Drosophila melanogaster: one gene and its partner. Changing the gene in region 1 together with any one later gene gives a genetic interaction. Each region holds a gene or a part of one and is shown on either strand. Other genes may lie near its edges.

Region 1 (3,922 bases):
CAAATGCACATCGAAACTAATAAAAACATTTCGTTGATTTGCTGGTGGACTTGAATGTCACCAGCTGCAGCGAATGGGTTTTTAGAAGGGTTGCACCATACTTACTTGAGGAAATCGCCGGCGGAGGGACGCAGGACAATGGCGCACGGATGCTGCGTGGCCCGCACAAAAGGATATGGCAGGCGGAAGGGCAGGAGGAGGAGGCGTGGCCCGGCCCTGTCTAGTTGCGCACTCGGATCCGCATCCCCATCGACATCCCCATGCGCATCCACATCCGCGTCCAGTGGGGCATTGCAATGGGGACAAGTGTGCGGCAAAGTGAAGCAGAAAACTTTCACGTTGCAGTGATGAAAACAGAGGATGCCCGGATCCGAGGTAATTGTGGTTGTACTTGTCGTAGCCAACATGGCTCTGCAAGTGTGGTTGCCTCTACAGTCGCAAAAAAGGATATCAAAATAGAGAATTCACATTGTTTAGAAGTCATTCACTCAGTTAATGTTTATTTCAAGTCTTCGTAACCCTGCTAACTAAATGAGATCTAAAAATTTTTTGACAAAATAATTTATATAAGATTGTTTACACTATTATAAAAGTGGAAAGTACACTGCACCATTTTATATAAAAACAAAGAAAGGTAATACCTTTAGTTCCTTTTCTCTTTGTGTTAGCTGCAACTCTGGTATCCTGCTTTTCGGCTCCTGGTTACTGGACCCCGGATCCCCTTCCTTTGGCCCCCGGCTGGGGATCCTTCGCCTTGTGCCCGTATTATAATTGATACACTTTGTCTATTGTGCCACTCTCCTCGTCCCCGTGGCCAGCTGCCTTTGGTGCTTGTGGCTTTTGGCCAGGCCTGAAACGAAACGTAACGAAAAATTGTTGTAAATAAGCCGAAACCAGACGAAGTTGCGACCAAAAGCGGTTTGCCTGGCACATTCAGGCGGCGAACAGTTTCTGTGGTTAAAAGGGCAAAGGTAAAGGAAGGGGTCATGGTAAGGACAAACAAGGAGTTGGAGCCTTTGCCATATTTGTCATCATTATTATGGCTGGTCATGGGTACCGTGTATTTAAGAGCTTTTCGATTTTTGGGGGCACTGTTCCTGTAAATTCAAAAAATAACCTAATAACAAAAATGAACAATTTTCAATAAAATCGTTATTAGAAACAGTGCAGTACTTCAATTCATTAGATTTAATATATTATTTGGACAGCCCAATGTAGTAAATCCTCCCTCGACAAAGAAACTGATTACCAACCCTTGTTAGCGTGTTTGGGAATATTTTGACTTACCAAAACCGCACCCTCTAACCAAAGTAAAGCTTCTCAATCAATTAAGTTCGTTTCGTAGGAGAGCCACCCCGAAAGGAGCAGTCATATGTTGGCCAGCAAAGAAAGCCGGCTTGAAAGAAAGCGGGCCAACACACAAAAACGTAAACAAACCGGCGAAATGCGAACCCACCACCTGGACAAAGGAAAAATCGGAAAACTGAACGCCACCAAATTGCCCAAAACAAGAAAGAGAGCAAAAGCGCTGGCTGAAGAGAGCCAGGGAAATTCTGTCATCGTAGATGGGAAATGCATAACTCACGACGGAATTTCCCCGCTCGGTTCTGCGGACTCGGCTTTTCGGGAACGATGGCTCTAAGGAAGCTCGAGGCGATCCAGTTGACGGCGAACCGTGCGAGCAGACGGTCGTGTTCCAGTCGCAGTCCCTCAAGGATCAGCTCAGTTAGTCGGGAACCATCATCAGTTGAAAAAGTCCATCATTACCATCGACACAAGTGCAACGGTGTGAAAAACAGAGAAAAACTGAGTGTGTGTGCATTTTCGTGTAAAAACGCAGGATATACCGTCCTAGCCAAGGAAGGATTTAAAAACATAAAACAAAAAATCAAATAACGAACGGATTTTGCTTGTTTACAACTCTTGCGGTCGGGACTTTTACGGATTTTCAAGGGAGTTAGTCGTGTTAGTTTGTGTGATTTTCCGCCCCCGTTCCCTGGGTGTTTGTGTTGTGCTGCTGTAAAGTGGAAGATGCCATGGCAACACATTGCTAATCGATGACGTGACCAAAAAACAACAAAACTAGCACACAGCAAGCGAAGGGAAAAACAGGGGAGTCCCCCGCCTCACACTTGGGATAATGACCATAAACTGACTTGGTATGTGGAAATCAACATAACGATAGCGAAGACGAAATTTTGGCTAACTGATAAGAGTGGCGGCTAACGAAACTCATATTTGATAGCCCCAAATGCCAGAATTTAAGTCTCTTAACTTTTGCCGAATGCCGCATTTCAAGATCGAAAAAGATACGCCAGAACGGAGAGCTGACATTTCGCAAACAAGCAGGAATGTCCGAACGGATGTAATTTATTCCAACTCTTCCGTTTCGGCCCCCATGACCCAATTAGTGGGCGTGGCACTTGTTCAAAATTAAAATGTTTACTTGGCAAACTTGCCAAAATAGTAAGAGAGCTACTACTATTCACGAAAACTTCTGTGACAGATTTAGTAGATAATTTTTTGAAAAGGGTAGCCAAAGACTAAGAAAAATAGAGATTTAAATTTTATCGGTGGCAATTAATAAACTAGTAGTTAATAAATGTGTTTGTGAGATGTTTTCGATATATAAATCGTTTTCCTTCATAAATATTCAAAGTCCTTTGAGCATGAAAACTTGCAAAGTGACCTTTTCTAAACTTCAGCTGCCTCAACAAGTTCCAGTCTCTTTAAAGATAAAAGCCTGCAAAACTAATTCTCAAAGTAGATTGAAAGTTTTGCCAAGAAAATATGTAATTAGTATAACGTAACGGAGAATTTAAATTTGAATTTCTATTAAATGCAATCTGCTTGGAAAATGCCAATATTAAAAAGGATTATAATCTAAAGCAAAGATAAATATTCAATGTTTTGCCAAAGTGATATTCAAACAAATTAAATTTGCTTTACTGATGAGCAAAAAGTTAAATTGGTTTTACTTTGGGTCATGAATAAGCAAAATAAGCTGGCCAAGTAAGATGGATGAAATAAATTGTGGAATTCGCTTAAAGCCTCGAAAAAAAAAAATCGTGGGTAACAAGCAGGATAACAAATGCAATAAAGGAAACGACAACAGGCCTTGGGAGACTCAAAAGGAAAGTAACCAGAGGTAGAGGAAAAAATGGGCCATAACAGCAACAATTTCAGTGAAATCCAAGCAAACTTTATCTCTATGTTGTTTGCCAACTTGAATTAAACACGCCCCCAACACACATGGAAAAAATGTCCGGGAAAATCTCAAAGAGTTGCGAGAAATGAAATTACAACTTGCATCCTTTTTTTTTTTGGCAAAGCACTTGGCCAGGACCTTCAAAAGGAATTGTTTGGCCAAAGAAAACATAGAAAGGCACAGCAACAGAAAGTACGAAAAAATTGTCTGAAATCGAGTTAAGTTTACGCATTTTGCGAGGCATACAAAAGTAAGGAATAGGGTATTTCATGCCATAAGGTATTTCAAAAATGGAGATGCGAAAAAAATGTGTAAATAAAACGTTTTTTGCTAAAGTCCTTTCACTCAACGCAGTCAAAGAAGAAAGGTGAAAATTGTTCAGATTGTCACGAAATCAAATACATCCCGAAGAAAAGTAATTTCATACATATTCCTTTAAATTTAGAACTTTGCTTAAAAAACTTAACGTGGCAAACGAACGTATTTGTTAAGTTCTTCTCTTGAAAAGCAAGTGAATAATTAAGTGCGAGTGGAAAAACAGTTGCCAGTACCTGCCAGTAAGTAAATTTAACGGCAGCAACTGACAGTAGAAATTGCTCAAAATTTCATTGTCCTGCGCTTTCCCCTTTTTTCTTGGTCCTTCGCGTCCCTTTTCCGGAATTCTTTTGCTTGGTCCGCAGCTGGTGACGCAGGATATAAATTACATTTGGAACA
Region 2 (3,922 bases), on another chromosome or scaffold:
CATCATCTCAGGTGTAATCCCCTTGTCCACATACGGTTCCAAATCCCTTTGAATGGTCGCCACATGGCAGAGGCATTTCGGATCACCGATTACGCAGGGTCGATGGATCGCCAGGGCGTGCAGGATGTGCGGCACAAAGTCGTAGCTGGCTGAAGGATACAAATCTTGAAAAGGTTATATTATATTATATTCTATATAGTTAACTATTTGAGTTTGGGTTGTGTTCGTTGACAGCGCATTTGTCCTTGGAGCACGAAACGCAAGTGCAGGAGAGGATTAGGGCTCCAACTAAAAAGCATATCCTTGGCTGGGTCATAATTAAAATTTAAAGAGAATTTACATATTTCTTCCAAATATATTTTAAACTTTGAGTCTTAAAACAAATGGCTTTCGATTGTTATAAAGATTGTATAAATGCTATATATATAAATAGGAAAATATTCGAGTTGTTCTCTAAATCTTGGACATCAAAAATGCATGGAATGCGGACAGAGAGATTCACGCTGCTCTAAGCAACTTAATACAAAATGAGAAATGCTTAAACACAATAACATTTCATTTCGCTACAGCTCATCCTTTTTAGGCCCTATGTAAATAAGTTGATCCTCCGGCTTAACCTCGTATTGCAGCAGCTTCACATATCGCTTGAGCAGCTTGCGCCAATAGCACTTGATGTCCTTCATGCGCAAATGCTCCCAGATGAAGTCGTATCCACGCTGAGCGATCTCCTGGGCCAGCGCATCGTTTTTCTTGAAAAAGGACAAGATGTGCTCGTACTCCTGCTGACTGGGGTAGCTCTTGAGCGGCACATAGTGCACCCAGGGCTTTAGTTGGTCGTAGAAGAACTCCTGCCACTCGTCGCCCACATGGAAGACCAGCGACTTGCAGAGGAACAAGTGCTTCAGACGAAAACTGGCGGCCACACCGCGGAAATTGAACAAGTACTTGTACTTGCAGTGGTCCTCGAAGGACACCTCATCAGCAGCCGGTGCGTCCAGTGTATCCTTAGGCGACTTCCAGCCCTGATTTTTGGTGTATTGAGCCTCGACTAGCTCCGGATTGCGGCGCGAGAGCAGAATAAGAGAATCACGTTCGTCCGAGGTGCGTGAACCGCGAAAGAAGCCCAGACTGCGTTTCTGTGACCAGGGTATAGCTGCCGCTCGCTTCTCCAGCTTCTCGCGCATCTGATCCCAGCGTCCAATGCCACGAGGATGGAGCTTGGTGGCCGGTCCTCCGGCCCAGAATGTCCACGCTGGATACATGATGTCGCGGTACTCCTTTGTCTTGGAGAAGGAGAAGACGGGACCACCAGCCGCGTTACCCCACGCCGCATTCAGCTGCGGATAGTCCCTGGTATTGATGATCAAGTCCATGTCGGGCAGCGTAGCCACCAGCGGCAGCAGGAAGTGTTCAATGCCCTCACAGCGGGCTGGGAACATGCAGTTGGCATCCCGGTACAGGCGATGTCCGTAGATCTTGTATTTGGTGCCGTAACGCGCTGAACTCTCGATCATCTGCCGGGTGACACCTGTTGACTTGTAGGGCGCGAGATCCCGTTTCAGAACATTTGCGTGGCAGGAGCAGTCGCTGTCCTGGGGATCACTGCTGCACGGCTTGTAGTCGGCATTGGCTTTTTCGATCTGGCGACGTATCTTGAAGCTAACTAAATTAATTGATTAATTAATTAATCGAAGCCGGCAACAAGTTGCTTACATTCATCCTCGTTTATTTGGTCGGGTTCACTTTGTGCACAGGATTTTTGATCGGCACTGCAAAGTCCGTCATCTTCTGCACCTCCTGTTCCTACCAAACTAATTAATAATACGACTATTAAATGATTTATTAGCATTTCTTTGGATGTAAACAAATTTGTTGGCCTTTGATTGCGGCGTCAGCAATAGGGTTGCCAAGTCAACTGAAACTATCGATATTCCAGAAATGTTTTTAAGGACATAGTTTTTAAAGTAAAATGAATGTCTACAATTGATGTAGAAAATAAAAGACTTTCTGCCATTTAGCTGCAAATAACTTAAGAGGAGAAGTAGTTGTGTTTTTAATAACTTTTTGTTACCTGGCAGCCCAGGCAGCAAAGCAGTGATTGAACTGTTACTTTCTTAGGCAGACCATGTCACTGCATTTGCAGGCAAAGCCCTGCAGTAGTAACCATTATTTTGTATGACCATCCATGTGATGGTCACCCTATGCGAGTAACTGTTCGCCGAGTTTTACTTTTGACGCGGTGTGCACACACTGGCCGATCCAACCATTATAAGAAAACCAACAAGAAACGTCGAAAGTTTTCTCCGTGTTAAAGCCAGCCAATAGCCAAATTACAAACGAAAACGACGATTTGCAATTTGCAAATTATGCGTGCGGCACCTAGTGCAATCGAAACCACGTAAACCCAACGAACGCGAGTGTTTTAGACCACCTGCAACCTGAAACAACCACCATTGTACATAATTTACACGAACAATTTTGCAACGACAACAACAAAGGACGCCGCGCTGAAAGAGAGAAGTTGACATAACTGCAAAAAGTAAATTGTATTTAACAGTGGTGGGCAACTAAATAAAGCCCGGATTGTAATATTGGCAACGAAAAATCGTAGTGGGAGTGGCCCAATTGCGAAAACGATGTTGTTTTGTTGAGACAATTGCCAAAAAGCCACCAAAAGTTCAACTAAAAAAGGTAATACATATGTATTTTTATTTATTTGCAAGTGTATCTGCATCTGTATGTGTGCGCGCGCGTGAGTGTGTGTGTGGGCGTACTACGAATAACAGTTAATTGAGCACTCATCGATTTTTTAGCCCCTTTATTGTGGCTCCTAAAAAAGGCAACTTAAATTCATTTCACCTCACGATCCGATCGCCAGATAAAATACAAAAAATAGAAAAAAAATGGAAGAAAAAACTGTTGGAAAAGTTGCCAGCCATCGTCATTAAGTTGATTTGCTACCGCCGCCGATGCTGCGATTTAATTTACCTGGCATTTGGTTTGCTTTCGAGAGCTCCAGTTTCCCATTCCGCCGCATTCCACCTGGGCTTTTCGTTTCTCGACTTTGATTTTCGTTTCCCATCCAGCGGCCGATTTTCCTGCTCGCCGACAAAAAAAAATCGTATCGCTTTCGTTTTCACATTGGACGGCGCGATATACTGGCTTTTTGTTTTTGGTCCGCGACCTAGGGTCGCATTGCCCCGCCCCTCCCGCACCAGCCCGACCGTCCATCAAAGCACCTGACTAATTAGTGTTGAGTTATTAACTTGATAATTATCGCTAGCCACGAGCGAGGTGCACTACTGGAGTTCTGCAGTGCAGGCCTACTTCCGTAACTCTAAACATCTCTTTCATTTTCCTAAGATATATGTATGTATAAACCATTTTAATGGCTTACTTTAAATCTTATTGTACAACATGGATTAGAGTATGTTAGGAGTAATCTCCAACTTATTTAATGTACTCATTTCGTTGTAATAATGTAGTATGATATCTTAATCAGATTCAACATTGTTGTTGATGAAAGTTAGCGGAAGTTGAATTGTATCTGTGCCTTGCAGTGACTAAGAACTAACTTGGCTATCTTTGAGGTCTTTTCGTTAAACTCGTTTGGAACACCATATCGAAATACTGAAAACGTTAAATACAAAAAAAAAAAAAAAAGAAACAAACACAGTAATTCGAGCTTGGCGCTGACTAAAGCTTCGCTTTGTTTATGGAAATATATGTGGTCATAATCAAGCTTTTGGAACCGAAGTCACACGTAAATCTTTTCTGCGCATTCAGACGTATCGATGCGATTGGGAGCCCCTCGACTAGCGTTTCCAATCAATGGTTCTTGGGAGAAAAACTTCGAATCATTTGCATTTTCAGTGGCGTGGCGACCCTCGCCTTCTAATGACTCGATTGATTTCCATTTTGG

The links.
Region 2: of eys (region 1) and rumi, changing one enhances a phenotype caused by changing the other (phenotypic enhancement), as found in Drosophila melanogaster (one study listed by BioGRID).

What each region holds. Positions count from the first base shown.
Region 1 is NT_033779.5:2,310,021-2,313,942, forward strand, and holds the start of eys (eyes shut), read left to right. Parts: upstream 1-1,659; 5' UTR 1,660-2,159; intron 2,160-3,922. Other genes in the region: CG9967 (uncharacterized protein), read right to left, coding at 106-407. UniProt on the Drosophila melanogaster protein: Essential for the formation of matrix-filled interrhabdomeral space: critical for the formation of epithelial lumina in the retina.
Region 2 is NT_033777.3:22,748,676-22,752,597, forward strand, and holds rumi (rumi), read right to left. Parts: upstream 1,923-3,922; 5' UTR 1,850-1,922; coding exon 1,714-1,849; intron 1,664-1,713; coding exon 564-1,663; 3' UTR 339-563; downstream 1-338. Other genes in the region: CG31139 (uncharacterized protein), read right to left, coding at 1-149, 205-316. UniProt on the Drosophila melanogaster protein: Protein O-glucosyltransferase. Catalyzes the reaction that attaches glucose through an O-glycosidic linkage to a conserved serine residue found in the consensus sequence C-X-S-X-[PA]-C in epidermal growth factor-like repeats.